Linked DNA regions of Macaca mulatta. The protein of the gene in region 3 binds, or shares a complex with, the protein of the main gene of each other region. Links are inferred from orthologs where the notes say so. Each region holds a gene or a part of one and is shown on either strand. Other genes may lie near its edges.

Region 1 (4,104 bases), on a different chromosome or scaffold from region 3:
TTGATATATTTTTCAGGCTTCTGCATTCTGGCAAACCTCCTGATGCCACCCAGATACATGACTCATACCAAGAAACTGACTCTACTAGTCCTATGACTCTCACCTAGACAACTGACTCAGCACAGGAAGACAGTTTGGAAACACCTATAAATTCATCCCCAACCAATCAGCAGCACCCACTCCCTACCCACCTGCCCACAAAATTATCCCTAAAAACCACAACCTCCAAGCTGTCAGAGAGGTGGATTTTAGAAATATCTCCTATCCTGCCACTCAGCTGCCTTGCCTCCATTAAACTCTTTCTCTGCTGCAACTCCTGCATTCTCGATGTTTGGCCTTTCTGGGAAGCGGGCAAGAAGAACACGTTGGCCTGTAACAGGAGAATAAATAAGAGTTTGGCAAGCAACAAGAGGGTGCAGGTATTCTGTGTAGAAGGAATTGCAAGTGCAAAGTAGAAAGAGGAGGCATACTACCAGTTTGAAGTTGCTTGGTATGTTCAATGAAAAGCAAGTAGCTAAAAGGCAAGATAATTTTTTATAAAAAAAAAAAAAAAAAAAAAAAAAAAGGTATGGAAAAGGAAAGGCAAAAGCTAGACAGAGAAGTGCTTGTTCATGGAGGAATTTGTGTGCCACTCTAGACATTTTACTGTAGGAAATGGGGATTCTAGAGTTTTAAGGAGGTGAGTAAATCAACAGGCTGGGTTTTTAAAAATTCCTTCTTGTGGCAGAGAAAATAATGGATTGGAGAATTTCCAGACCAGACTGTAAAAGTCACTATTAAAATAATCAAGAAATGAGGAGATGACAAACTAAAATTTGATCTAGTGACCAACTGAATATGGGAGAAATAGGAAAGGGAGGAATGTAGGATAACTCTGATTTCTAGTTTAGGTTACAATATAGTAGTAGCAGTATTTAACTTGGTGAAAATAGGAGAAACCAGGAGGAAAGATAGCAAGTTCAGTTTTGGTCATATTAAGTTTGAGGGACCTTTGAGACAGATGTGTCCGGGAAGCAACTGAGTTAGGCATTAGTAGATCTGAGAGAAAAATTGAAATTTAGAAGCAAAATCAAAGGTGTTAATAGAATCCATGTGAGTGGACAAAATCACCCAAGGAAAATGTCTAGACTAAGAAATGAAAGTAATTAAGGAGTGAATTCCAAAGAATGACATTCAAAAACCAGGCACAGCCAGTAAAAGGAATTAATGACTATGAACCTCAGTTGTCACAAACAGACTAAGCAATATAAATTTTGAGAAGTAATTACTGTATTTGGCATTTAAAAGGCCTTTAGAAACTTAAGCAAGAACAACTTTCTTGAAGGCATTAAAGAAGCCAGACAAAAGACTTTTGTCTGTTTGATATAAGTAAAAATAATATCCTTTCAATAAGTTTACTGATAGATAGGAGGACTGGGAAATAACTGGATAAACACAGGATGGATGACATGGTTTTGCTTTATTTAATTTTCATAAGATGTGTGACTTGAGCACTGAGTAGAAGGAACTGAAGAGGAAGAGGCTGAAAGCACAGGAAAGAAAAAAGACAACTGGAAGCGAAATGTAACAGATGGAAGCAAATGAGATCAAAAGCAAAGATGGATGGATTATCCTTTAATATCCCTTTCTCTACACTAGAAATACAAGACTAAAGGCTTGGCAAAAATATAGATCAGTGTGTAGGTTGGGGGCATGAGGTTGAAGAATTGTTATACTCCATCATGTTTAGAAAGGAGAAATGAGAAGGGCAAAAGACAGGGTTTATAAATGGAAGGTTTGAAAATGTCTTTACAGAAAATGGGGCAGGGGAAAACTGGGGTAACCAAAAGGATTGCTGAGTAGTATGAAGAAACAAGGGGTGATGGGTGGGGGCTCTGTTTCTAAATTCGTAGCTATAACTATCTAAAGATCTTTCTATCTTCCAGTCCATTATCCATAAGTGCTTAAAAGACACGATAGTTAAGTGAATTAACTAGAACCCTGGTACTCTCAAACATGTGGGTGAATTAAAATCACCTACAGGTTTATTTAAAATGCAAATACCAAGCCCCATTCCTTTCATTCAGAATTTCCAGGGGTGAAGTCCAAACAGTGAATTGCAGAAGCTCTCCAAGCAATCCCAGGAGAAATTTCTGTTTAAAAAAAAAAAAAAGAAAGAAAAAAAGAAGAAGAAGAAGAAAGAAAAGAAAAGCAAGCACAGACCTAGAAGGTAAGCAACTGGACAGACGAGAGCTGATCCAACATACATCTGTTAATGGCCCTCGTGGGGGCGTGGGGCAGTGCTCTGCCACTCAGAAAAGCAAAAGGACTCCAAGATCTAGGGAGATTCAGATTAGTGTTGAGACAGTCACATACACACCACCCCACACTCTTAATAAAGCGCGTTAATGTGAATCTGTGAGCATGAAAAATGCCACGATGAACAATGAAAACACATAATGTTGTTCAAAACAGGTGATTAGACTCGATGCCTTACCCTGAATTTTCTGTTTCATTACTCTAGAGACTTAGTAGCATCAGTGGAATTCAGGGTGCTGTAAGAAATACGGAGAGCGAGTAAACTGCAGTAACAGCCCATGGGAAGGGGGAAAGAGATAATGAGGAGAAGGTCGGGAGGACAGGACAACTTTAAGTGCCCATCCGCCCGAAGACTTGGAACGCTAAGTAGCTAGGACCCACAGCCGTTATTCTGACATCCCCTGGCACTCACCATTGTCTCAGGATCTCAGCACTAGAAAATAGGTATCGTTGAGACAGGAAGACACCACCACCAACACCATCATCCGGTTACTCAGGCAACAGAGCACCGCCCACTGTCGCACGGTGCGTGGGACGCCACCGCCCCACCTCTTCGTCCTTAGTGGCTGGGAGTAATCTCAGCTGCGTTCATCCAATCGACAGGCCCGCCCCTCCACGCTGTCGCCTGGGGCTACGAGACGCCGTTTTTCTGTTTCCGGCAGTTTTACTTCCGTTTGTTTAACAGCTGGCCCGGAAGTTTAAGTGAATCTGAGGCTTGGGCTCCAAAAGTTGCTGTACAGTATTTTATTTTAAAGTAGACATCTGTCCGCTTTCCACTTACGGAGGCCTTACAGTGTGTGTTCTGTGTTACTTGAGTTTAAACTCACTGCAGAATGTATTTACCCTTCTCTTTTGGAAACGTATTCCGGAAGCGAAACCCTGAGTAATCGGAAGTGGTTAGGAGTGAGAGAGCTCCTGGATATGTGGAGGGCCTGGGCGGGCCGGCTTCTGAATGGAAGAGGTCTGTGAGAAGTTAGCCTGGTGATACCGATCCGAAGAGCCTATGAAGTGAAGTCCCCTGAAATACGGAGAATAAGAATCTTACAGGTAAATCCGAGGACAAGCAGGTATAACTAAGGATGTTGGAAAGGGACGGAGGTCTGGCTGGAGCTTGGTGGCCAGTAGCTTTGGATTTAGGGAACGATTGTTGTTCCGGGAAGGCTTTTTCAGACAGGAATGGAACTTCGGTTTCGACTTCCCGGGACAGCAAAGGTTGACAGACTTGTCGCTTCCCGGCCTATCGCTCTCATACCTGCTCACTCCCCCTACTTACTTCTTCACCCCCTCACCTTCATTTGGCATTTGCCAGCACGCACTCGGTGTGCCTGTATGTTTCGCAGAGCAACTATCAAGGGCAGTTTCAGGGATCGTTACTCTTACGAAGGGTTTTTTGGATACCTCTTTTCGGAGCAATAGACTGTAGTGTAGAAAAGTTTGTGACTGTTAAGAAAGTTAGTCGTCGGGTTCACTAATTGAACTGAGTTGTATCTAGTACTGAGAGCGATCTTTTTTTGTAGTGACACCAGTTGTCATCTAGTGTACAGTTTGTCATATTTATATCATTGCAGTAGCATCACCTTTTTATATGTTTTCTAGTAAATCTGAGTCTGTACTGTAGGCAGTGTGTACCTTTCTGAAAGCATGTGCTCAATATATGTTTCTCTTTTTACTTTTGGAGCTACACTATTTTAACTTTATTACCAAAAAAATATGAATTATGTTATCTTGAGTAATATTTTTTCTCGTTCGTTACACATCTAAACAGAAGCTCCTTTTTGATATGTGTGTGTGTGTCTGTGTGTGCAT
Region 2 (3,500 bases), on a different chromosome or scaffold from region 3:
GGCCAGGCTTGTCTAGAACTCCTGACCTCATGATCCACCCACCTCTGCTTTCCAAAGTGCTGGGATTACGCCCGGCCTCTTTTTTTCTTTTGAGACGGAGTCTCGCTCTGTCACCCAGGCTGGAGTGCAATGGCACGATCTCCACTCACTGCAAGCTCTGCCTCCCGGGTTCAAGCCATTCTCCTGCCTCAGCCTCCCAAGTAGCTGGGACTACAGGCGCCGCCACTAGGCCCGGCTAATTTTTGGTATTTTTAGTAGAGACGGTAGTTCACTATGTTGGCCAGGCTGGTCTCGAACTCCTGATCTCATGATCCGCCGGCCTCGGCCTCCCAAAGTGCTGGGATTACAGGCGTGAGCCACCACGCCTGGCTGGACATATTTAATTTCAATTTGCATTTTGTGCTTTTAATTCTGTCATTCTGTATTGTGAAAGTTATATACTGTAATTTTTTTTTTTTGCTTTAAGTACATTTACCTTATGTATGTTTTTTTAAAATATAAGCCAGAATTCTGGGCCGGGCGCGGTGGCTCACGCCTGTAATCCCAGCACTTTGGGAGGCTGAGACGGGCGGATCACAAGGTCAGGAGATCGAGACCATCCTAGCTAACACGGTGAAACCCCGTCTCTACTAAAAAATACAAAAAACCAGCCGGGCGTGGTGGCGGGCGCCTATATAGTCCCAGCTACTCGGGAGGCTGAGGCAGGAGAATGGCGTGAACCCGGGAGGCGGAGCTTGCAGTGAGCTGAGATCCGGCCACTGCACTCCAGCCTGGGCGACAGAGCAAGACTCCATCTCAAAAAAAAAAATATATATATATATATATATATAAGCCAGAATTCTCTAGTCTATTGAAATTATTGCTCTTTTTCCTTTGCGTATAAACCTAAATATTAATCATTTTATTACTTTGTGTTCTACTAAACATACTGTTTAAAATAATTGCAAAGGAAATATTTTACAGCGAGAGGGAAATGAATTTGAAAGTTTACAGAAGGCCACCTTTGAGTAATTGCAGTTTGCTTCTGTTGTAGAGCTGTTTACGATCTGTGCTGGAACAAATAGCAGCATATGGCCAGGTTGTGTTTCGACTCCAGCAGTTCATTGATGAAGTCATGGGACACAGTTCCGAGAGCATGCTGCCTGGAAGTGGGTCTGTTCCTAAGAAGTCAACTGAAGCCCCCTTTAGAACCTACCAGGCTTTCATGTGGGCCCTGTACAAATATTTCATTAGTTTCAAAGAGGAACTTGCAGAAATCGAGAAGTGCATCATCAATAATGGTATTAAATGTTCCTCATCTTTACTCGTGCTACACGTAACTTATAATTTGAATGCCATTTAGATTTTTCATCATGTAAGATTGAAAGTTGCCTAGCAAATAAGTAGTTCTCGTGAATGCTTCATTTTTAAAATTATTTTAAATTTGTATTTTTAAATCATTCATATCTCTAAAAATCAAAAATCTACAGAGGATTTAGAGTGAAAAATCTAAATTATTCTTCCTGCACCAGTACCCCAGCCAGTCAGTTCTCCTCTCCAGAGACAGCCAGGTCCTCAGCTTCTTACGCATCCTCCCAGAAAGAGTTTGAACATACACAAGCAGTGCATATACATATACGCATACCTAGCAGTCATTACACTGCTCTCTTCAAATTTTTCTGATTTAAATTTTGAGGATAATACCACACAAATGTGAAGAGCTTCTATTTTCCTTTTTACAGATTGAGTGTTTCATCATATGGTTGTAACATAGCCCAGTCCCCTTAATGGATTTAGGTTCTTCCCAGGCTTTTGCTATTGTTAGCAGTGCTGCAGTGATAATCACTTCTACATATCCGTAATCGTACACAGGCAGTGAGTTATCTGTAGGGTAGGTTCTTTTTTTTTTTTTTTGAGATGAAGGCTCCCTCTGTCACCCAGGCTGGAGTGCAGTGGCGGGATCTTGGCTCACTGCAAGCTCCGCCTCCTGGGTTCAAGCGATTTTCCCGCCTCAGCCTCCCGAGTAACTGTGATTACAAGTACCTGCCACCATGCCTAGCTAATTTTTGTATTTTCAGTAGAGACAGTCTTTCACCATGTTGACCAGGCTGGCCTATAACTCCTGGCCTTAGGTGATCCGCCCACGTTGGCCTCCCGAAATGCTGGGATTACAGGTGTTAGCTGGGATTATACCACATCCAACCATGTGGGGTAGGTTCTTATAAATGGAATTGCTGGGTCATGTTGATTTTCCTAAGTTTTGCCACTTTATGGGGAGGTGCAGGTAAATAGATTTATACTCTTGTGAGCCATGTAGATGAATACCTGTTTCCTCACACTCTTGCCATCTGTGTGTTATCAGAGGTTTTGGTCTTCACCAGTATGACAGCTGTAAAATAGCAACCCATGTAGCTTTTTTCCCCTTAACTTTTATTTTGAACTACCACAAAAAATGGCACAGAGAGGCCCTGTGTTCCCATGACTTTGCTTCCCCCAGTGGGAAAACCTCACGTAGTGACAGTACATAATCAAAACTAGGAAACTGACATTGGCACAGCACATTAGCCAAACTGCAGACCTGACACGGCTTCACCAGCATTGCAGGAACTTGCAACTTGCTTTGAGCAGGGGTGGGTGTGGTATCTTCGTGTATGGTTCCGGGTCTTTTTATCACCTGTCGAGCTCCACATGGCCACTTCCATGTTAAGGTCACAGCTGTGCCACCACCTCGCAGGACCTGCTTCTGCAGCCCTTTGTAGGCACAGCCTCTCTCACCCCTCACTGTAACATCAGCCCGTTGGAGGTGTTCTGTTTTACCTGGCGTAGTTTTTTAAGTAAGGTCAAGTGACTTTCTGTATGTTCTAGAATCACTTATCTTTCCTTTTCTGTGAACTGTCAGTTCCTTTATATGTTAGTTTTCTGCTGAGTTTTCTTTTTCTCCGTGACTTGCAGGAGTTCTTCCTTAGGGAAATTAGGTCCTTGTGATGTGAGATCAAAATTCACCATCCTCCATTTTGCCCTGCCTGTCCATAAGCCTGGTGATTTGCCAGCATTTGTGTCACGTTTTAGATGCGTGTATTTTTCTTGCTATTGAGTTTGATTTGTTGAAATTTGCAGATGCTACAATAACTCTTGCAATAGTGGTGGACAAGTTGGCACCTCGATTGGCTCAGCTCAAGGTTTTGCACAAAGTGTTTAGTACTGGAGTAGCAGAAGTTCCACCTGATACTCGAAATGTTGTCCGGGCCTCTCACCTGCTCAACACCCTGTACAAGGCCATTCTTGAATATGACGATGTTGGAGAAGCCTCTGAGCAAACCGTATGTGAGACTTCTGCCTGAAGTGTGTGACTCCGTTCTGCACGGCACAGGAGTGGTAGACAGCTGATCGTAGTTCTTTGTTCAATGACACTTGAATGGTGACTCGTTGGACAGTTCAGAGTTTTTAAATTGGCTTCCAAATTTGAGGCTATAGGAAACTGGCTTTTCAGCTCTACTTGCCAAGGTCCTCAGAAGGATGAG
Region 3 (2,397 bases):
TTGGGGCAGATAACAAACCCATGAATTTCTCTGGCACAGAAAAGTAACTCAGGATGTGCTCAGCCCTACTCTTGAATTCTGTTTCTACTAATCAGGTTAGGTTGAACTGGATTGAGTTCCTGGAACTCTCATGGCCCTGGGCACTGGGAATCTGGAGTCTCGGCTCTTCTGGCCTGCTCGTAATGTAGCGTGCCCTCCTTCGGTAGACCCCACCTCCTCTGCCTTGAGTGGAAGAGGTTGGGGCAACATTGACCCTCACTGGGGCAAACCTTAGGCACTGAGGAGACAGCAAACCTCAGTAAAGCTCTGTAATCTTGAGACAAGGGCTGACTCTAGTAAAACAGCTTAGTTCAAGGTGAGGGATGCCAGTGGAAACAGTGAACACACTAAGATTTGGACTTAGTGGTAAGACGTTGGAGGACGTGAAAGCCACCCTACTGTCAGAGGCCTAGAAACTGGACCCCTTCACCACCCCCTGTATTCACAGATCAAGCCCTGGCTATACTGACAACCAAGCTTTATTACTTTATTAAAGCTGAACAAGCATATCAAGAGTTAGGGCATGGAAGGGAGGAAGCAGGAGGAAGCTCATGGGCTGGAGATGAACCAAGAAGGGTTGTCCATGAGGTGAAGTTGGGTCAGAGGGAGCAGGCATGGTCGAGGCTGTGCTTCCCATCCAGGAGTAGTGGGGAGGGAAATCACTGCTCCTGGGTGCCCCAGGAAATGTAGTCTGGCTGGGTGGCTGCATGGTACTCATCAATGAGCTCCTGAACAACCTCCCTAGACCTGTCCATCTCATCAAAGTTGTCCTTGAACATGTCCTCCTTACGGAACTGCTCAAGGAAGGCATCCCGCTTCCGCAGCTTGTCGAACTGCTGGCAGGAACTTTCAAAGAGCTGAAAGAGATGAAAATCTCCAAAATGCGAGCCAGGGGGTTAGGAGTGAACTTGGGGAAGATGATGAAGGTAGCCAGTGGAACAGACTCTTCCTGAGAAGAACAGAAACCTAGACTCACCGAGGAGATGCTGGTGTGGTTGGCCATCATGAGCCCACTGACCCGGTGGGCCGAGGGCAGGTAGGGAGACTTCCTCGATAGGGCCACTTGGATGCTGGCGGGGCCCCACGGGATGAAGTTGGCCAACTTCCGTTCCCGAATCCTCTGCAGGCTCTTGTGGACCTGGGGTGGGCACACGAGCAGTGGAGGTGGCCTCTCCTCTACCCCTGCGGGTCCAGGGTGCGGGATGAAGGGGCCTCCCCTACCTGGGTGGGGTCCACCTCTCCCTGGATGATGTTGAGGATGGCGATGTAGCAGTGGTTGGTCTGGCGGTCTCGGCCTGTGGACACCATCACGTTCTTGGGCTGCAGCAGCCGCCTCATCACATCCAGGACCGTGGTCTTCCTCACGCTGGCCACCTGATGGGACAGTGAGACAGGAACCCGGCCAGCGCTCAGGGCAGAGTCCCCCTTTGGCTTCTCCTTGGCAGAAGCCAAAGGCAGAGGGAGGGTAGAGCGCAAGTCAGCAAGAAAGTCCCTGAGCACAGTGCCTCGGGGCCCGCAAAGGGCAGCTCCTGGGGCAGTGGGGAAGACAGAAAGGCTAGGGCAGGGCCTGCTGGGCCCAGGGCCGGCCTGGCCTGGGACACTGAAGGCTGCTCTTACTGATTGGTCCGTAGTGAGCGGTGTGTAGCCGGTCATGAGGAAGTGGAGCCGTGGGGTGGGAATGAGCGAGGCGATGAGGCCGATGAGGTCATTGTTCATGTAGCCGGGGTAGCGCAGAGTGGTGGTGCTGGCAGACATGATGGTGGACACCTGGGGACAGGCGTGCCATGTCATGGGCCTCGGCCTGGTTGGGACTTTCCTTCCCCAGATGACCCTCCAGCAAGGAGGGCTTCCAGTCCAAAGGAGTCCAGGAGTGGGGGCCCACCAGCTGGTTGATCTGGGAGAAGGACGGGTTCTGGATGTGCAGGCGGTCTGTGGCAATCCGGTTCAGGGCTGTGTTGTCCAGCACCACCTACGGGGACAGAAGAGGGTCACAGCATCTTGAGGATAAAATGGGCATAGAAATAAGATATTGGCTTAGCCCCTGCTGAACTCCAAAGCCAAGAAGTAGGTTTGTTAGTTTAAAAAAAAGTACTGCTGGACGTGGTGGCTCATGCCTGTAATCCCTGCCGTTTGGGAGGCCAATGTGGGAGGATCACTTGAGGCCGGGAGTTGGACACCAGCCTAAGCAACACAGCAAGATGCCATCTCTGTAAAAAATATACATAAAAAATAACAGAAAGAAAAGTACTGTTTCTGGGGCATCATGAGATACTCTCAGACTACGCAGGGCAGTAAACAAACCCGTGAGTACCCACATGTGCCATACACTGTGCTTGGCTCTGGGGAGACCACAGAGAG
Region 4 (3,500 bases), on a different chromosome or scaffold from region 3:
AATACTGAAATTAGCTGCGTGTGATGGTGCACGCCTGCAGTCCCAGCTACTCGGCAGGCTGAGGTGGGAGAATCACCTGAGCTTGGGCGGTCGAGGCTGCAGTGAGCTGAGATCACGCCACTGCACTCCAGCCAAGGCAACGAAGTGAGACCCTGTCTCAAGAAAAAAAGAAGTCAGTTGCTTCACCTCCCCAATATTCAACATCCTTGGTGTCTTCTCAACACCTGCGTCGTCGTCTGCGAATCACCACGTCCGAACGACCACTGACCACGTGGCTCCTCCGTGCCGGTGTGGGGAAAAGGCAGGACGCGGGTAGGCAAACAGCTCCGCACGCTGCACAGCAGCGACGAGAGGGAGGACACTGCCGCGGCGGCGCTGGCCAGGTGGACGCCCACACTGTGAGAGGCACGGCGGGAACGTGGAGGGCTGGCAGCCGCCTCGTGCTCACAAGGTCCTGATGCTTTCCAAGGCACGTGTCCTCATCACACACCACTCCAGGGGTGTTTTCCAGAGGACGCTGGCCCCAGGTCATGCAAGGTCCCGTGGTGTGGCACTGGTCAAATCGTGGGGTAAGGGCTGGACAGGCCCTGCACGAACACCACGGTGAGCTCCATTCTCGAGTCTGCACAGGTGGCACGAGGGGGCGGGGACAGTGCGGACAAAGGGAGGCGAGGCAGGCTCGATGCCGGTGGCATGCCTGGGACCTGTGGCCGTGGGAGGGAGGTGGGGCAAGGCCGCCCCTTCCCTAGGGCGCTGAGTGTGCCGAGGGCACCCGCACCCTGACCTGAGAGCCGGCTGCAGGGTTCACAGCCAAGTCCCACACACTTGCTTCCAATCACCGCCATGCGCGTGGCACCCAGCATTATTGGACACAGCCCCTTCCCTGGATGGGGAAACATGGGGGGAAAGCCTGAACACCCCCCTCGGTGCTTCCTGCTCCAGAAAGCTGGTTCCGCTGTGCTCCACTGCTGGGATCTCGGGCACCAGGGACCCGCGCGTCCTTCTCTGAAGCCTCCCTGGGCATCATCAGGAGCTCTCAGATGCCCACTGCTGCCCCGGCCGCCCGCTAAATACCCGCTAAGGGAGTGGCTCTCTCTCCCTAACTCTTCACAGTTGGATTATTACTGAAAACACACTGCACAAAGCAGACTGTTTTCTTTTTTTTTGAAACAGGGTCTTACTCTGTTGCCCAAGCTGGAGTGCAGTGGCATGATCACAGCTCACTGCAGCCTCGACCTCCCAGGCTCAAGTGATCTCCTACCTCAGCCTCCTGAGGAGCTGGGACTACAGGTGCCCGCTACCACACTCGGCTAATTTTTATACTTTTTGTAGAGACTAGTCTTGTCATGTTGCCCAGGCTGGTCTCGAATTCCTAGGCTCAGGTGATCCACCCACCTCACCCTCCCTAAGCGCTGGGATTACAGGTGTGAGCCACCACGCCCGGCCAAAGTAGACTGTTTTCTACACTTTTCATTAACTTACAGCAGAGTTCTGTTTGTTGGGAATGAGGAAAACAGGAGGATTTCATGTCACCGTTCTCCAGGGTTTCTGGCAAAGGCAAGGGTTGGCCTCTCGGTGCCTACACCGCAGAGCTGCGCGAGCAGTGGGAAAGCAGATCGCGTTCCACGCTGCCTCTTGAGTTTGGACTAATAGGCAGAGGCAAGACAAGCAAGACAAGCAGGTATCTCTGTCCTTAAGTTCGTGAAATCTCATTTTTCAATCTAAAAATGTACTTGACTAGGTGTGGTGGCTCACGCCTGCAATCCCACACTTTGGGAGGCCAAGGTGGGCAGATCACCAGAGGTCAGGAGTTCATGACCAGTCTGGCCAACATGGCAAAACCCCACCTCTACTAAAAATACAAAAATTAGCCGGGCGTGGTGGCACCTGCAGTCCCAGCTACTTGGGAGGCTGAGGCAGGAGAATTGCTTGAACCTGGGAGGTGGAGGTTGCAGTGAGCCGAGATCGCACCACTGCTCTCCAGCGACAGAGTGAGATTCCATCTCAAAAGAATTAAAAATAGATAAAAATGTACCCATGAATTGTGACAGATGAACACACCCCGGGTCCCCAACAACATGCCTTGAAATGACTGTGCGGTCTCACTTGCATCTTGTTTACACGAGCACTACTTTAAGAGGCCTCTGGGAGCAGAATCTATGGGAGTTATGAACCGCTGTTCAGAAGTAAGTGCTGCACACAATTCTGGTGCCTGCAGGTCTGCACCAGGGCACCAGGATGCCAGCTGGGGAGGGGCCTGCTGTAGGCTGCCCCACAGCTCTGGCAGGAGGGACGGGAGAAGAACCCTCAAGGACCCAGGGGAGCCACTTTCTGCTGCCACCCTGGGATAGGAATATGGAGGCAGCGGCCAGTCAGCATCGAGCCTCACAACCTGAGGAAGGGCAGGCCCAGGGGAGGGCTGGGCCTCAGAGTGTCCTGCCCAGGGGCCAGAAATAAACCCATCACATACCTATCGGCAGAGCCCGGAAATAAACGCATCACGTACCTATCGGCAAAGCGGTGTCTGTGCTGATGCCAGCACCAATCAGGAAATCCCCGATCAGGGCAGGTCTCTCATACACCCACGCTGGGAAGACAGGGAGGTGCTGGCCCGAATTTTTTTTGTTCTGCTTGTCTCGAAGCATCTTTCTTTTAAGTTCCAGAGACTAGCAAGGACATTTTTAAAAACAAAACCAGAAAGATACACTTTAGTGCAAACACTCAAGACACCTGTAGAAACTAACATCTACAGCAAAGATGATTAGTCAATTTAGCACCTACAAAGAGTCAGCCACACAGAAATGAAATGCAGCTCGATATCCCTGCCACACGAGGGGCTGGGGAGAACAGGGCAGATGGGGAGCCCCAGCCCCTCCTCTCAGGAGTCCAGGTCCAGCAAGGGCCCCCTGGGAAACCATGGGCACCAGCAGTGGGAACCACAGGAGAGGGGGCACCTTGGCACAGAGCCGCTGTTTCAGAGGAGGGTGCCCCATGAACAAGCTGAATTGCTTCTTCCTGGCAGTGACTAGGTCTGAACACCACTTGCTGGGTGAAGACAGGTGTTAGCAATAGACTTGCGTCCTTACCCTGCTGGAGAACGGCCCCAGCGCGACAGGCTGGCTCCTGACATGTGGTCAGAGCGCCTGCCCTCCTGTGCCAGTGGCCGCCGGAAGCTGACAGGTCGGCCTGGGCTGGCCCAGCTTTCGGAAGCACTGACTCCCACTCAGGGCTGGTCAGGCACAGGGCAAGTGCAAACTGTCTCTGCACGTGGCAGCACGACCCAGTCTCCTTACGTGCCACACACAGCGCGGCGCCAGGGCTGAGGGAGACGTGAACAGAGGCCTAGCACCATGTCCAGCACAGAACGTGCCCAGCAAAAACCGGCCAGGCCCTCAGGAGCCGCTGTACTCAACATGCACCACAAGGCCAGGAAGCCTCAGGGACACAGCTCCAAAGGGAGCTTTAAGGTCACAAAGGCAGGAACGTCGCAGCTCCAAGGA
Region 5 (2,362 bases), on a different chromosome or scaffold from region 3:
TGTTTTGAATCTTCTGGTACAAACTTGGGAACGTGGCTGTTATTTCAGTTTATGAGCCATAACTTTTCACATCCCGAAACTACAAAAGAGAAAAAGAGCCTTATTAAGTATCATGCTTTCCCAAGACTGCCTTCAAAGAAATATGAATCAGGACAACCTGTGGTCTAAATAATGTCGTCTTAAAACAAGAGTTTCTTTTGACTCTTCTGCTAAAATAGCTTAGAAAAAAGTCTACTTGCAGACATTTGAGAGAGAGAAAGGACAATAAAGTGATTTTCTGAATGGGAATGACAGAGCTCTGGGAAGCCAGCTACCACTGAATCTCACTTAAAGTTTAGAGTTAGAAGGGGTGGTCCCCTCCTTTCACCAATGTGGAAGCTAGGGACCAGCAAGGCGGGGTGCCCACGGCTGCACAGCTAGTTCATATCAGAATTGGGAATGGAAGGCACACTGCCTCCCAGCATAGCAATACATAACCTAGCAAAGGACTTAACACCTATCTCACTGTCAGGTTTTTTAGTATTTTATGATGATGATGATGACTTCTACTAGAAAATAATCTTCATTAAAATTATTAAAGATGGTCACACCTCTATCTCTAAACCTTGTTTATATAAAATGAGCGTATTTGGACTATATGATGGCTAAAGTCTTCTTCCAGCTCTAGAATTCTGCAACTCATTAAAAAGTCACCCACAAAAGTCTACTGAGTTACCCAAGGGTTGCTCCTACCTGCCCAGAGTTCCACCAGCCTGGGTATAGTATTTGTTATAATCTAGTCGTAACAGTAGTTGAGCCAAATCTGAGTTGATCTGATGATTCCGAACACTGGAGAGAATCTTGAATAGGAGTGAAGACTGGCGGCTAAAGCCCTGCAGAGAGAAGGACTCAGCTGTCATTCCACTTCAGCTCACCAACTCTCCATATGGAGGATGGGGGCGGAGGGAGGAGTTTCTTGGAAAAGCCTTGCTCAAAATTCTACAGAACCACCTGGCCTTCCCACATTCCTATTTCTATTAGTTCTTAAAATGACTTGTACCAAATCCATACATGCATGACTTCCTATGAAAGTACTCTTTCACCAGTAGGAATTTAGTAGCTGGTTTCCAGTTAATGTATTTTGTCAAGTACTGGGGTTGGGGAGAACCCGTTTTGATTACAAGCAGATAATTATCTCAGTGAGATAGGGGTTAGTTCAAGGAAGTAAAGAGGGGTAGGATGTGAGGAAGTTAGAACAAAGCCAATGCTTATTTGATGGGCTGAATAAACTATTCAGGACTGAACTATTTTTGAGCACTCTGAGGTAGCACAGTAATTACCTGATTCAAAATCAACTGATACCAACATTTTTATCTTTATATCTTATTTCTGTACGTGTGTGTATTGAGGAAATGCTTTACTGACTCAGAGGAAAGATCATGAATTCTCCATTGACAAAACCACCTCTGTCCTTTCGGCAAGGCTGCATACTTCCAGGCAGACGCACCTTCACGAGAATGCTCAGCTGGGCGGCTCCACGCTCATCCAGTGGGCCTAGGTTCTGACTGACCAGCGAACAAAAACTGTGACAGAGATCTAGGATTTCATTCAGGCAGTGAAACACCTACCCAGGAAACAGAGTTGGCATTAGGAAAAGAAGGAAGGTACGTCCATGAAATTAAAGATTTGGGAGAACAGTCTGATTAATAGCTGACCTCCCAAATCTGAGAGGATAGACACTGTCACTTGCAAGGCCTGCCAGCCCCTCAGACATACAATATGTGTAAAACAAATGCATCCTTTCCTGCGTACACGAGTATTACTCTCTCAGCCCCGCACCAAACCTCCATTCTAGCCACATTTAACTCTTCATTTCTTAGACCCGCAGAGTGTGTTCCTGCCTCTGAGCTGTGAGTGTTGTTCTCTTTGCCTGGGATGCTCTTCTTTTTAATACCAGTTCAAGTCCCACTCTCTCAGTGAAGCACTCCCTTCCCCACTGTAGCCTTTAGTGAACCCCGTTTCTTGCTTCTTTATTATCTGTACTGTTGTCCACTTGGCAATTGTTCAGGCCTCTGTGTTGTTAATGATTTCTGTATGTATATATATGTCTTGTTTTTCCAACTAGATTGTGAGCTCCTTAAGGGCAGAGCCATGAATTATACCTCTTTGTATCCCCAGTGCCTTGCATACAGTAAGCACTCAATAAATATTTAATGATGATGACCTGCTCTGATACTCGGCTTTTCCCTATGGATACATCTATGCCACATAAGGACAGCATCGACCCATCACAGTAGTTCTTGGTTGTTTTCAACCAGCCCTCTGAAATGGCATTTATTAATATATATCTTCCTCTTCCTGGGCAGCAGAAATAGCCCTAAAC
Region 6 (4,144 bases), on a different chromosome or scaffold from region 3:
CTCGGGGACTGAGGCAGGAGACTGACTTGAATCCAGGAGGCAGAGGTTGCAGTGAGCCAAGATCAGGCCACTGCACTCCAGCCTAGGTGACAGAGCAAGACTCCGTCTCTAATAAATAAATAAATAATTCAGAGAGGACCCTGCCAGGATTTGAGAGCCCACTTTTAATTTAGACACAATTCTAAATGGGAAGACAGTAGGATACAGAATTTTGCTGAAAAGAAGCTTTTCAATCTCTTAGAAGGGGCAAAACTTTTATATCAAAGAATCTTCAATGTTTAAAAAAAAAAAAAAAAAAAAAACGTTTTTGGCCGGGCACGGTGGTGGCTCACGCCTGTAATCCCAGCACTTTGGGAGGCCGAGGCAGGACGATCACGAGGTCAGGAGACCGAGACCATTCTGGCTAACACGGCGAAACCCCGTCTCTACTAAAAATACAAAAAATTAACCGGGCGTAGTAGTGGGCGCCTGTAGTCCCAGCTACTCTGGAGGATGAGGCACGAGAACTGCGTGAACCCGGGAGGCGGAGCTGGCAGTGAGCCGAGATAGCGCCATTGCACGGTAGCTTGAGCGACAGAATGAGACTCTGTCTCAAAAGTCTTTAAGTTGAGAAATACCATTTTAGCTCACGATGAATGACTTTCAAAATCCAATTATGACAATGGGAATGTATGAATGTGTGGTTTATCCCTAAAACAAAAAACTCTGGAACCACTGGTACAAGGGAAACACTGACATTAAGTTGGATAAGTCCTATCAATCTTAGTTTTATCTGATTCCCCCTATGACGAGGAACATGAAACATGAGAAAGGAAACTCAGTGTGCTAATGACAAAAACAAAGGAGGACAGGCCATGCTCATAACTCAAGGCCTTTTCGTTGGTTCTCTCTACTCAGAACCTTCCCCAGATGTTCAAACGGCCCTCCCTTACTCCATTCAGGTCTCTGTAAATATTTCAGAGGCTTTCCCTCACCTGTCTCTTCTATTTCTTTCTTTTTTTTTTTTTTTTGAGGCGGAGTCTCGCTGTCGCCCAAGCTGGAGTGCAGTGGCGCAATCTCAGCTCACTGCACGCTCCACCTCCAGGGTTCGCACCGTTCTCCTGCCTCAGCCTCCCGAGTAGCTGGGACTACAGGCGCCCGCCACCACGCCCGGCTAATTTTTTGTATTTTTAGTAGAGACTGGGTTTCACTGTGTTAGCCAGGATGGTCTCGATCTCCTGACCTCGTGATCTGCCTCTCTCTATTCCTTTACCGTACTTTTTCACCACAGTACTTATTGCTAATTAACATGGCTGGTTTATCATCTGTCTCTTCCACTAGAGTGTCAGATCTGTGGGAGGAATGACTTGTGCATCTGCATCACCAGCACTTAGCATAGTTCCTGGGAGGAACTTTGAGGACGGGGTTGTTCTCAAAGATTTCTTAGATAAATAAAGAGATAAAATGAAACTTTACAAAATGTAGCAAGAATTGTGTGAAGTCACTCATTTAATAGTAACACAAAATAATTCATGATTGCCCAAAGATTATCATAGAACATCCAATGAATTACACGCAGTAATTGTCATGAAGCATAAAAAGTCAAAATGCATTCCCAGTACTTTAAATGTAACTTTGAAGTCTTCCTTCAAAAACTGAATAACTTCTTTTCCACATTTTGGTCCTTAAGACGTAACACACTTGCTTCCATTACTCAGAAAACTCCCTCACGGTGCATACTCACTCTCTCCCCCACCAACCTGGCCAAAACACGGAGCAAGAAATGGCATCCTGTACCATTTATTTCAAAGTACCTCGGCTACAAAATGGTTTTGCCTACTGTATAGGATTAGTTTAGCTTATTAGTAACAATATTCGCCATGTGAACTTTCCCAGAATAGTTTTATATCAAATCCAACCCTCAACCCTTTAAACAGTAGAAAATATGGCAGATAATCGTTAACACCCCATTCCCATAATGCTCAAGCCTGTTAAACTTTCCTAATGAAAAGGGACGATGATGTGACTCTCCAGCACCCCGCACGCTCCTCCGCTGCGCAGCCGCTCTCTCCACCCCACACAGCATGAACCCAAAGGCACGCAGAGGCGCCCTCCCCTGGCGTGTGACACCAGAGAACCGGGATAAATTGGCGAGCTGGCATTCCTCCCATCCTCACTGACGGACCCGCGCGCGGAGTGAGCGGTGACTCAGCCCGCTCCGGCCCGGGCTCCGCCCTCCCGCCTCCCGGCCCCGCGCTCTGGCCCCGGCCTCGGGCTCTCCACTCCCTCCGTCCCGGTCCCGGCCCCCAGCCCTCCGCTCTCCTCCCTGGCTCCCTGACCCCCGAGCCCCAACCCTCCGCTCTCCTCCCCGGCTCCCTAACCCCGGAACCCAGCCCTCCGCTCCCTCGTCCGGGCCCCACGTCCTCGGCCCGTCCCCAGCCCTCTGCCCCGGCCCTGCATCCTCGTTCCTCCAGCCCCGGGACGTATTAGGGCTGCACGCGCAGGGAGTGGCCCCCGGGGTGGGTCTGCAGGCCCCGCGTCGCCCGGCCCCTCTACCTTCGCTCCTGCCCAGGATCCTGCAGCACAGGTTCTGCAGCAGAACGTTCGGCGACTTCTGGTCCGGGGTCGCCATCCTTGCCCGGGACTGTGCGCGGGGGTCTGGGCAGAGCCGCCACCGCCGCCGCAAGCGCAGGGACTGCGGCCCGCGCCCTCCCTGCGCCCCTCAAGCTCCCGGCTCCCGACAGGCTAAGGCGCGGGCGCCGCCGGCCACCAGGGCGCCATTTTAACGGAACCCGCCGAAAGCGCGGGCGCTTCCCACAATGCCCCGCTTCTTCCCTGCGCCGCGACCGCGCGTGCGGCTGCCTAAGCGTTCCCGGCCCTGCCCTGCGTATTCCCCCGGCTGCTGCCCGTCCGGCCGGGAAAGTTCCGGGCGACAGGTGGCCCGAGGCCCTCGAGCTTCGCGGACAGAGCGGCCCTGGAGTCGCGAGCGTCACGGGCTTCCTTGGAGAGCACTTGGTGGCCGGTAGCACCTTAAAGGCCATAATTTGGTGTGTTTATATGGGGGCGTGTGTGTTAACGGTATTGGTTTGATTCACGCTTCTGATGAAAGAAGCCTGTTTAAAGGGTGCAGGGGGTTATGCGGTGTGGCAAGTCACCTGCTACTCTCCAGCAGGCGCCCTGCTCAGGCCCGACCTCACACCGCCGCGCAGGCCGCTCCCCCAGGCCCGGGTGACTGGGACGTCCTGGGAAAATAAATCAATCACGTACAGAGTGAGAGAACAGGAGAAGACCTGCCGAGAAAAAGATCGATAAGCGGACAATTACACCAAGCCATCTTCAGTGCAATCGTTAAAGCTTACACATGGGTGCACGCTTGGGAGCCGTGAGCTACCATGTTAAAAGGCCAACTTCCTGAAGGAAAAATGATGGAAAGAGATCCCGAGATCCCATGAAATGGAAGAGGGAGGACAATCCAGCTATCCCAACATCCCAGCTGAGGCCAGCCACACATGTGACTGTCTGCAAAGCCCGTCGGGCCTGGGTCCAGCTCTGGTTGCAGAATTGTTAGCAAGTAAAACATTTGTTGGCGTTCTGACTCAAAAACATGGAGACAAAGCAGACTTGTAGGATATTACAGTCAACAACTAGACCCTGCAGCTAAAGGACTGCCTCCTTGCATGAAGCAACAACCATCACAGCTCTGCAAGAGCAACCAAAGCACCAAGGATGCCATCACCCCTCACTGCTTTCGATCCACATTCTGTGGAAGCGCTTCTAAACCTGCACCACACTCAACACGATCAGTTAGTAACTGGCTTCTTATGAAGTTATTCTCTCAGCCCCATACTACAGTGTCCAGATGTCATCTACATTCTGCCAGCCTCTCCCCCACCTTCAGCTGAAACGCTGCATGACTGCATCATCTTATCTGACCAGCTGTCTCCTAGGACAGACATACAAGAAACCCCCCTCACTAACGCTGATGTTATTTGGTTTACAGATGGCTGTTACTTAAAGGATGCAGCTGGAAGGTATTACACTGGCTATGCCATAGCGCCTTTGCCCAAAGAAATAGAAAGTGCTTGTCTTCTAGGAGCAACCATCTCAACAAGCAAAGTTAATAGCATTAATTAGAGCATGTCAGTTGGCACAAGGAATAACTGCT

What was found.
Region 1: TUBG2 (region 3) and NME7 share a complex: the UniProt entries of both Homo sapiens proteins name them as parts of the gamma-tubulin ring complex. The link is inferred for Macaca mulatta from reciprocal best matches to the Homo sapiens genes TUBG2 and NME7.
Region 2: TUBG2 (region 3) and TUBGCP5 share a complex: the UniProt entries of both Homo sapiens proteins name them as parts of the gamma-tubulin ring complex. The link is inferred for Macaca mulatta from reciprocal best matches to the Homo sapiens genes TUBG2 and TUBGCP5.
Region 4: TUBG2 (region 3) and TUBGCP2 share a complex: the UniProt entries of both Homo sapiens proteins name them as parts of the gamma-tubulin ring complex. The link is inferred for Macaca mulatta from reciprocal best matches to the Homo sapiens genes TUBG2 and TUBGCP2.
Region 5: TUBG2 (region 3) and TUBGCP4 share a complex: the UniProt entries of both Homo sapiens proteins name them as parts of the gamma-tubulin ring complex. The link is inferred for Macaca mulatta from reciprocal best matches to the Homo sapiens genes TUBG2 and TUBGCP4.
Region 6: TUBG2 (region 3) and TUBGCP3 share a complex: the UniProt entries of both Homo sapiens proteins name them as parts of the gamma-tubulin ring complex. The link is inferred for Macaca mulatta from reciprocal best matches to the Homo sapiens genes TUBG2 and TUBGCP3.

The regions. Positions count from the first base shown.
Region 1 is NC_133406.1:26,870,609-26,874,712, forward strand, and holds the start of NME7 (nucleoside diphosphate kinase homolog 7), read right to left. Parts: upstream 2,801-4,104; 5' UTR 2,714-2,800; coding exon 2,711-2,713; intron 2,535-2,710; exon of another isoform or gene 2,477-2,534; intron 1-2,476. UniProt on the Homo sapiens protein: Possesses an intrinsic kinase activity. Displays 3'-5' exonuclease activity with a preference for single-stranded DNA. Does not seem to have nucleoside diphosphate kinase activity.
Region 2 is NC_133412.1:1,333,723-1,337,222, forward strand, and holds part of TUBGCP5 (gamma-tubulin complex component 5), read left to right. Parts: intron 1-1,033; coding exon 1,034-1,280; intron 1,281-3,096; coding exon 3,097-3,299; intron 3,300-3,500. UniProt on the Homo sapiens protein: Component of the gamma-tubulin ring complex (gTuRC) which mediates microtubule nucleation.
Region 3 is NC_133421.1:67,018,198-67,020,594, reverse strand, and holds the end of TUBG2 (tubulin gamma-2 chain), read right to left. Parts: intron 2,009-2,397; coding exon 1,922-2,008; intron 1,807-1,921; coding exon 1,657-1,806; coding exon of another isoform or gene 1,648-1,656; intron 1,414-1,647; coding exon 1,261-1,413; intron 1,178-1,260; coding exon 1,016-1,177; intron 897-1,015; coding exon 699-896; 3' UTR 501-698; downstream 1-500. UniProt on the Homo sapiens protein: Tubulin is the major constituent of microtubules, protein filaments consisting of alpha- and beta-tubulin heterodimers. Gamma-tubulin is a key component of the gamma-tubulin ring complex (gTuRC) which mediates microtubule nucleation.
Region 4 is NC_133414.1:145,393,266-145,396,765, forward strand, and holds part of TUBGCP2 (gamma-tubulin complex component 2), read right to left. Parts: intron 2,667-3,500; coding exon 2,507-2,666; intron 147-2,506; exon of another isoform or gene 77-146; intron 1-76. UniProt on the Homo sapiens protein: Component of the gamma-tubulin ring complex (gTuRC) which mediates microtubule nucleation.
Region 5 is NC_133412.1:20,787,586-20,789,947, reverse strand, and holds part of TUBGCP4 (gamma-tubulin complex component 4), read right to left. Parts: intron 1,604-2,362; coding exon 1,487-1,603; intron 873-1,486; coding exon 733-872; intron 80-732; coding exon 67-79; 3' UTR 1-66. UniProt on the Homo sapiens protein: Component of the gamma-tubulin ring complex (gTuRC) which mediates microtubule nucleation.
Region 6 is NC_133422.1:106,857,395-106,861,538, forward strand, and holds the start of TUBGCP3 (gamma-tubulin complex component 3), read right to left. Parts: upstream 2,801-4,144; 5' UTR 2,612-2,800; coding exon 2,536-2,611; intron 1-2,535. UniProt on the Homo sapiens protein: Component of the gamma-tubulin ring complex (gTuRC) which mediates microtubule nucleation.